Rattus norvegicus: one gene and its partner. The protein of the gene in region 1 purifies or fractionates together with the protein of each later gene. This does not show direct contact. Links are inferred from orthologs where the notes say so. Each region holds a gene or a part of one and is shown in the gene's direction. Other genes may lie near its edges.

Region 1 (4,259 bases):
TAGAGCCATCGTTTCGCTTTTCTTAAACAGTCTAAAAACTATGCAGCTAGGGGCCAGTAAGATGGTAGGTAAAGGCACTTGTCGCCAAGCCTGACAATCGTAATTCAATTACTGAGTCAGAAGGAGAGCAAGTCCTGTGAGTCTTGGATCTCCAACCGCACCGAGGCATGAATACCCTGCCCCAAAAAGGTGAGGATAGGGCCTTACATTGAAACAAGAACACAATGAATTCTTTGTTTTGTTTTGGAGACAGGGTCTCTCTGTGTAGCCTTGGTCATCTTGGACCAGGCTGGCTTCGAACTCAAGAGATTCAGCCGCCTCTCCTTTCCTCGCACTGAGACTAAATTCGTAAGCCACCAGCGCTCGGTGAATAGAATGACTTCTATTCAAAGACATCAAAACAATATCTAGCCAAGTAGCAGGCACAACAACAAATTCACCAAAGGGCCCTCTTCTGCACCCAGAAATGTTCTCAGTAAACAAAACAAAACAAACAAACCCAGCAGCATAGCCACATTTTAAATTCATCTTCTGCATGTAGGGTGGCTTCTGGATGGGTAAAGTGGGATAAGCATTTTTGAACGAAGGAGGAACTAGAGAGACATACATACTTAGTACTACCTATAATTATTTTCAACATAAATACATGCATAATATATGGAAAAGAACTTAATGTTAACTACCAACGGGGTAAAAAAAAAAAAAAAAAACAAAAAGAAAACTAATGACACAAAGGCAGGGAAAAGAATCACGACTTCAGAGGTCTTTCACCTAATCCAACATTACTGTAGAGATAAATTTTCTCCCAGCCAGCTGCTATCTGCAAACCGTACTGGGCTTACATGAGCACCCTGAACATGGAGTCCAAGAGAGATTCAAACTCTTTATATAGCTCAGGGTGACCTTGAACTTTTTCCTGTTTTGCTTTCACCTCTCCTGTGCTGGGTATTTTTCTGAGAGCCAAGAAACACTGAAACACCGGTTCCCCACCAAAGACCTAAAAGACAAGGAGTGCGCGACTACTACCACGTGGAGAGATGCTACGCTTAAAGCATCTAACTCCCGGACACACCCATACTGGGCCTCACAGGACGTTCGTTCGGCTTTACCGAAACCTCGCCTCTTGCTAGGCAACCGAATCTCCGCGGCGACCGGAACAGGAAGATGCGAGACTGCCCGGAACCGCGTAGGGCAGGCGCACGCAGTCTCTCTGGGCTCCGAGGAGACAAGGATACACAGCGTCCCGGTCGCCATGAAAACAGGCCACACCCCGGCGGTCCCGGCCCGTGCCTGCCCAGTGCGCAGACGCGCGCGCCGTTCCGCGCAGGAGCAGTGAGGCTTGGAGCCCGCCAGCCAGTGTCTCCGGCGCCAGCTACGCCGCTGTGGCTGTCACTATGGCCCATTACAAAGTGAGGGGGGCGCGGCGTGGCTCGGGGCGTGCGGGCGGCGCCGGGTGGGAGTTGGGGCGCGTGCAGGGCTTGGGGCCGGCGGCGGGGCGCGCCGTCTTCCTGCTCCGGCCCCGGGCTCCGGTCCCTGACCCGCCGTGTCTCCTCAGGCCGCCGACTCGAAGCGCGAGCAGTTCCGGAGGTACTTGGAGAAGTCGGGGGTGCTGGACACGCTGACGAAAGGTGAGCGGAGGCGGGCGGCTGCAGCCAAGGTCCGCGCGCTCTTGACCAGGTGGGGCCCGCCCGGGGACTAGCGAGGCCTTGGGGTCCCATGGGTTGAGCGCACACCGGCCGCGGGACTTTGCCTCACCCCCGTGGTCGCTCTCTGCCCGGGACTGAAACTCTTGCAGCTGTTGCAAAGTCTCTCCAACTTCCGTTGCTTTCCCTCGAGCAGTCGCAGTGGACACGTTAGCAAGAGACCTTGAGGTCCCAATTGCTCCCGCCGTATAGTGTGCGGGATTTTACAAATTTTTCCTTTGGACAAAGGCAACTAAGAAAATTACTGGATTTGAAAGTGGGTTATTAAGTGGCTCTAGTCCCCGAAGCTGGAGAGTATCACAGACAGTTTGGGCTGTGGCTTTTCAACTCTTTCAGCCTGTAGTAATTCCTACTTTGTGTAGATATCATAATTAAAGTGGAATTACAATTTGAAAAGTGCTTCAGAGCACATAAAAATGGCTATACTCTTTACTTTAAAACAATGGAAGATTACTTTTAAAGTGCATCCCTTCCTTTCTGGGAGTAAGGTTAGAGGGTATGGTGATTGAACCCAAGGATTCCCGGAAAGAGAATACAGCTAAACTGTCCTTAACAGTATATTGAATACCTGCTACATGTTGAGTAAGAACTCAACATTGCTTGGTGTTTCCAAGGGAATAGAATGGAATGGCTGGCAGGGATTGAACCCTTGGTCCTTTTGAGAATAGGAGGTGTCTGGGAAATAATTTTGTATCTGCTTTTTAGTGAAACAAAAGCTAGGGGAAAATTTGGAAGGACTTAGAAGAAAGCAGGGCTTTTAATTCTTTTACATGGATGAACTGACAAGTTAGAATTACTACTAATTTCCTTATGTAGTTTTGCAAGTCGATGTGAGCAACATATAAGGAACTGCTCTGTGAGACCACTGTACTTTGTGGCATCGGAAGTGTCACAGATGGCTTGGAATTCTGGTAAAAACCCCTCATGTTTCTTTGATGTGATGATTTTATTCCAGCCTGTGTTCTGGGTACCAAGGGCACAGCCACAGACATGTCCCTGCTTTTGGGAGCTTGTTAGGGACACACACTGTAACACAGTGCCAGCTAGTGGTTGACATATAATTTAAACCATAGCCAGGATAAAGGTGTGACATTTTACATGGAGTAGCAGAGGGCAGACCGTGAACAGAATTTAAAGTATAGATAAGTATAAAATTTGAAATCTGGATTGCTCCCAAATCTGTAACTTACTGAGCATTGATGTGGAAAATCCCATACTTGACTACATAAATTATGTCAGTCATAATTCAGGAGCCTAGGAGTATGTACTTGTTCAAGACCATGTTCATCTTATGTGGATGAGGTCCGAATGGAATGTAAGTGAAGTTCAAGTTTCCGCTTGGATCTCATCCCCAAAATGTCTCATTATTCATGAGTAGACATTTCAACCTCTGGAGATAAAGACTGATACACTTTTGATCCCAAATAATCTGTGTGGGGAGGGCAGGGGGAAAGAAATGGATGCGGTGAGTGGACAGGCGAGAGCAGTACAAGGCAGATGGACAGCAACTGGAGATAACTGAATGCAGGCTGTTTAAGAGAATGGAAACCAATTTTAAAGGGTCAAACATAGATGCTTTATACACGTTTACATCTTCCTATCAGCAACATTTCAGAGAGGATTTAAAGTTGTTTTTAACATCAAAACAATGTAAGAAGCCAGGCATGGTGACATGTTTTTAGTGCTCTAGTGAGGGAAGGCCGATCGGCATTCACTGCTTGCCTGGAGCGCATATCAAGACCTGTCTCTCTCTAAAACAGTAAACGAGAGCTAGGCTAGAGAGATGGCTTAGAGGTTAAGACTACCTGATATACAACTACAGGGACTAAAGTCGAGATACCGGCACTCATGTACTAAACCAGGCGGTCTGTGTGTGTGTGTGTTCCCAGCCTAGCCAAAAGGATGGAAGCTCCAGGCTGGGAGACCTTGTCTCAAAGGTTTGAGGCATATGCAGAAGACTGTCGACATCTTGTTTCATTTCTAATTGCACTTGACCAGTTGAAATAGGAGGACTGCTTGAGTCTGTGACCAGCCTTGGATAAAGAGTAAAACTACATCTTAAAAACAAAAAACCAAACTTAACCAACCAGCCAAAAAACAAACAAACAAGCAAAAACAACAACAACAAAAAACAAACAAACCCAAAACCAAAACCCAAATTGTATAACCTTCTAGACAAAAGCATCCAGGAAGAAGGTGAATGGATGGAATAGCATTTTAGTTATTCTGAGCAGGGTAGCAAACTTTAAAAGGCTCTAAGTACCTAGGCTGCTAAGGGCTAGCCAGAAGGCTCAGCAGGTGAAGGTGCTTGCTGCCAAGCCAAGTGGACCTGAGTTTGATTCGCAGAGGGTATAGGTCTCTGAACTGTGTCCTCTGATTTCTACCTCCTCCCCAATATTGTAATAACAGTAAATTTAGCTTCTAAAGCAAAAGCGAATATGATTTGGTTGAATTCTCTTCAGATAAAAAGCACAATTATTCCACAGAAAAGAACACAAAACTTAACACTTTGTGGCTCCAGCCATGCAGACACCAAGGCAGGAATTTGGGAGCTGG
Region 2 (4,250 bases), on another chromosome or scaffold:
AATCGGAGACCAAATAGCGAGTTCCATGCTACACAGAGTCGAGGGGTGGACCCTATCTCAAAACAAATGAGATTCCTTTTAAAATATTTTTAAAAGTTCAAGTCATCTTCCCTGGTTACATAGGAAGTTCAAGGCTAATCTGAGACAGTGTTTTCTTTTAAGAAGAAAGCCAATAGTTGATTTTTGTAGCAGACACCTTTAATCCCAGCACTTGGGAGGCAGAGGCAGCTGGATCTCTCTGATTTTAAGGCCAGCCTGGTCTACAGAGGAAGTTCCAGGACAGCCAGGGCTACACAGAGAAACCCTTTCCGGAGAAACTAAACCAGCCAACCAACCAACCAAATAAATAAATGGAGGGAAAACATGAGAGAACATAGAAGAAACATGAAAAATCTAAGTGGAAAAAGTAGACAAAAGCTGTGTATGGTGGTGCATGCCTTTAATGGGGCAGAGGCAGGTAGGTCTCTGTGAGAACAAGGCCAGCCTGGTCTACATAGTAAGTTCCAAGGGATGATGGAGAGATGGCTCAGTGGTTAAGAACACTGTCTGCTCTTCCAGAGGTCCTGAGTTCCCACATGGTGGCTCACAACCATCTGTAATGGGATCTGATGCCCTCTTCTGGTGTGTCTGGAGATAGTGACAGTGTACACACATACATGAAATAAATAAATCATAAAAAAAAAAGGAAAAGCTTCGGTAACACAGACCTGTAACCCCTTGATGTCAGGACTACAAAATTCAGTTAGGGAAATTATGTCCTTAGCAAGACCCAGCACCAATCTATGTTTATGCATCAAAGTATCCATAAGAAAAAAAATGTACTTCAGGTTTGGGCTTTGGCCATTTGACTAAACGCACTAAGAAGGTCAGGATTGTGGGGAGATACAGGACCCGCTATGGTCCCTCCGTCTAGAAAATGGTGAAGAAAATTGAAATCAGCCAGCACACCAAGTACACTTGCTCCTTCTATGGCAAGACCAAGATGAAGAGACAAGCTGTTGGCATCTGGCACTGTGGTTCCTGCGTGAAAACAGTGGCCAGCGGGGCCTGGACTTACAGTACCACTTCTGCAGTCACAGTGAAGTCTGCCATCAGAAGACTGAGGGCCTTGAAAGACCAGTAGAAGCCCTCCCTACCATCTGAGACCTGCCTGGCCTGCAATAAACGGGTTAATTTACAGAAGAAAAAAGAAAAAGAGGGGCTGGAGAGATGGCTCAGCAGTTAAGAGCACCGACTGCTCTTCCAGAGGTCCTGAGTTCAATTCCAGCAACCACATGGTGGCTCAAAACCATCTGTAATGGGATCTGATGCCCTCTTCTGGTGTGTCTGAAGACAGCTACAGTGTACTTGTATATGATAAATAAATAAATCTTTAAAAAAAAAGAAAAAGAATGTATGTGTGTATTAACAAAATTAGTCTGGGGTTGGGGATTTAGCTCAGTGGTAGAGCGCTTGCCTAGGAAGCGCAAGGCCCTGGGTTTGGTCCCCAGCTCCAAAAAAAAAAAAGAACCAAAAAAAAAAAAAAAAAAAACCAAAACAAAACCAAAAAAAAAACCCCAAAATTAGTCTGTATGTACATATATGTGTTTATATAAAAGTGTACATATGGGGGGTTGGGGGATTTAGCTCAGTGGTAGAGCGCTTGCCTAGCGAGCACAAGGCCCTGGGTTCGGTCCCCAGCTCCGAAAATAAGAAAAAGGAAAAAGAAAAAGGAAAAAGAAAAAAAAAGTGTACATACAACTGGTCATTTCCTGAGATAGACTTGATCTACCTTTAATTTATCTTTGCATTTATTGTTTTAGTTATCACAAATACGGTTTTGACCAAGGTGTTACAGGGTTTTCCTTCCTATCTACTCCTCCGTATCCGTATTTGTTACTGGGAGCACACTATCTTTGTATGAAAACGTCTGGGATCTCACATGCTAACTGCCACAAGGACTGAGCATCCCACACACAGCTGTGTGATACAAACTTTTGCTAACATTTATCTGCCTGGACTTTACTGACACTTCCCACTATTTATTTGCTGGGTCTTTTCGAGGGACCATAGAGGTTCTCTAGAGTCACAGAACTTATGGAATGTCTCCATATATTTAAAGGGAATTTATTGTAATGACTTAGTCTGCAGTCTAACTAACCAAACAATGGGCAGCTGTGAGTGGAAGTCCAAGTATTTAGTAGTGGCTCAGTCCCACTCTGTCTTCTGTATGAGCTGGAAGAAGTTAGTTCATTCCCACAGATGTGTTGGCAAAGTGCAAGCAGGCAAAGAATAGAGAGCTTTCCCTCTTCCATTGTTCTTACGTAGGCCTCCAGCAGAAAATGTGGCCCAGATTAAAGGTGTATACCATCACACCTGCACCTTGAACTCAGAGATCTGATTGCTTCAGTCTCCTGGGATTAAAGCCATATACTACCTTGCCTGGGCCTCAAAGTTTTCATGGTCACTATGCCTCAAAATCTCTATGTCAAGATACAGGTCAGAAGCCTGTGTCTTCCAGCATCAAGATCTGGATCCCAGCTGTATCCTCCATTTCTGGATGTTCATTCCAGATGTAGTCAAGCTGGCAATCAGGAGTAGCCATCTGAGACCACAAATACTCCTTGAGATAGCTTTTGCTGAGCCCTGGTCAATCCCAAGCTCAAAAGCATTCTCAGGACTCTGAGGGAGAAGGATTGCCAAAAAAGTGAGACCACCCTAGGCTAAAGAGAGATCCTGCCTCAAGAGGGGAAAAGAGCAGTTGCTTGGTAGAGCACAAACTTAGCATGTGCTAGGCCCTGGGGCTCTATATTCAGCACCACCCACCTATATGTCTCCCCCTATTTTTATTCAAGCAGTTTTTCTAATGCCTTCAGAACGGCACTGTTTTGTCTCTAAAGTGGCAGTGTTCAATAGAAGTATAAGGCATGCACTCGGGAGGCAGAGGAAGAGTTGAAAGGAGCCCAATCTACACCACTAGAGCCTAGCTTAAAACAAAACAAAACAAGACATGTATGCTTTTAATCCTAGTACCCAGGAGATAGAGGCCAGTGGGTCTCTTTATGAGTCCAAGGCCAGCCTGATCTATTGAGTTCCAGGACAGCACCAAGTGCACAGAGAGACCCTGTCACAAAAAAAGGAATAAGATACAAATTACTATAACTTGTATTGTTTATACATGTTCCTGTGTGTGCCTGCATGCTTGTTCACATGTATGGGGGTCTGTAGAGCCAGATGTCAACATTACGTATTTTTTTCAATGACTCCATACCTTGTTTTTCAAGACATTTTCTGCTACTAAACCCAGAACTCAGTGATTCATTAGACTAGCTGAGCAGCAAACTCCAGGGAATCCTCTCATTTCTGTCTTAACCGCCATGTTGTTAGGATTACAGGCAAAAACTGCTGCACCCAGCTGTTTTTGGACAGGGTCTATCTGGCCCTGGCTGTATAGACTAGGTTGGCCTCACACTCACAGAGATTCACCAGCTTCTGCCTCTCCAGTGCTGGATTAAAGCCGTGGACTGTCATTCATGCTCTGCTCTGCACCTTGCTTTTTATTTGGGTACTGGAGATCCAAAGTCAGGCCCTCAAGCTTTCATAACAAGCTCTATACTGAGTCAGCTCCCCATTTTTCTCCATAAGTAATTCTAATTGTCACCCATGTTCAGAAGGTTTTAAAACAAGAAATTTTAATATATTTTATTTAACCCAGCATGCCAAAAAATACTCCGCTATGTAATTAATATTAAAAGATTTTTCCCCATACAAGGTCTGAAATGTGCATTTTACACCTGTATTACATTCCCATTTGAAGAATGCAAAGCTACATGTAGCCAGCAGAAAGTTAATGAACAGTACAGTCCTGATGAACGCACGTACTGTGACTAACCTACAGTTTCTAACATTAAAGCTCTTCTTTGGTTTGCTTCTTTTTCTTCATCAACACTTCTTTTTTTTTTTTAAGATTTATTTATGTATATGAGTACACTGTCACTGTCTTCAGACACACCAGAAGAGGGCATCAGATCCCACTACAGATGGTCGTGAGCCACCATGTGGTTGCTGGGAATTGAACTCAGGACCTCTGGAAGAGCAGTCAGTGCTCTTAACCGCTGAGCCATCTCTCTAGCCCACATTAGCACTTCTAAATTGGCCTGTAATTTAATTTTAAGAGGCTGAGGGCCAGGCAGTGGTGGTGTGGCACACGCCTTTCTTTAAAACCTGCACTCAGGAAGCAGAGGCAGGCGGATCTCTAGAATTTGAGGACA

What was found.
Region 2: the proteins of Mycbp (region 1) and Spag5 purify together in Homo sapiens (co-immunoprecipitation; 3 studies listed by BioGRID and IntAct, with this or other methods). This does not show direct contact. The link is inferred for Rattus norvegicus from reciprocal best matches to the Homo sapiens genes MYCBP and SPAG5.

The regions. Positions count from the first base shown.
Region 1 is NC_086023.1:141,419,404-141,423,662, forward strand, and holds the start of Mycbp (C-Myc-binding protein), read left to right. Parts: upstream 1-1,323; 5' UTR 1,324-1,394; coding exon 1,395-1,409; intron 1,410-1,555; coding exon 1,556-1,628; intron 1,629-4,259. UniProt on the Homo sapiens protein: May control the transcriptional activity of MYC. Stimulates the activation of E box-dependent transcription by MYC.
Region 2 is NC_086028.1:63,692,039-63,696,288, forward strand, and holds the start of Spag5 (sperm-associated antigen 5), read left to right. Parts: upstream 1-1,261; 5' UTR 1,262-4,250. UniProt on the Homo sapiens protein: Essential component of the mitotic spindle required for normal chromosome segregation and progression into anaphase. Required for chromosome alignment, normal timing of sister chromatid segregation, and maintenance of spindle pole architecture.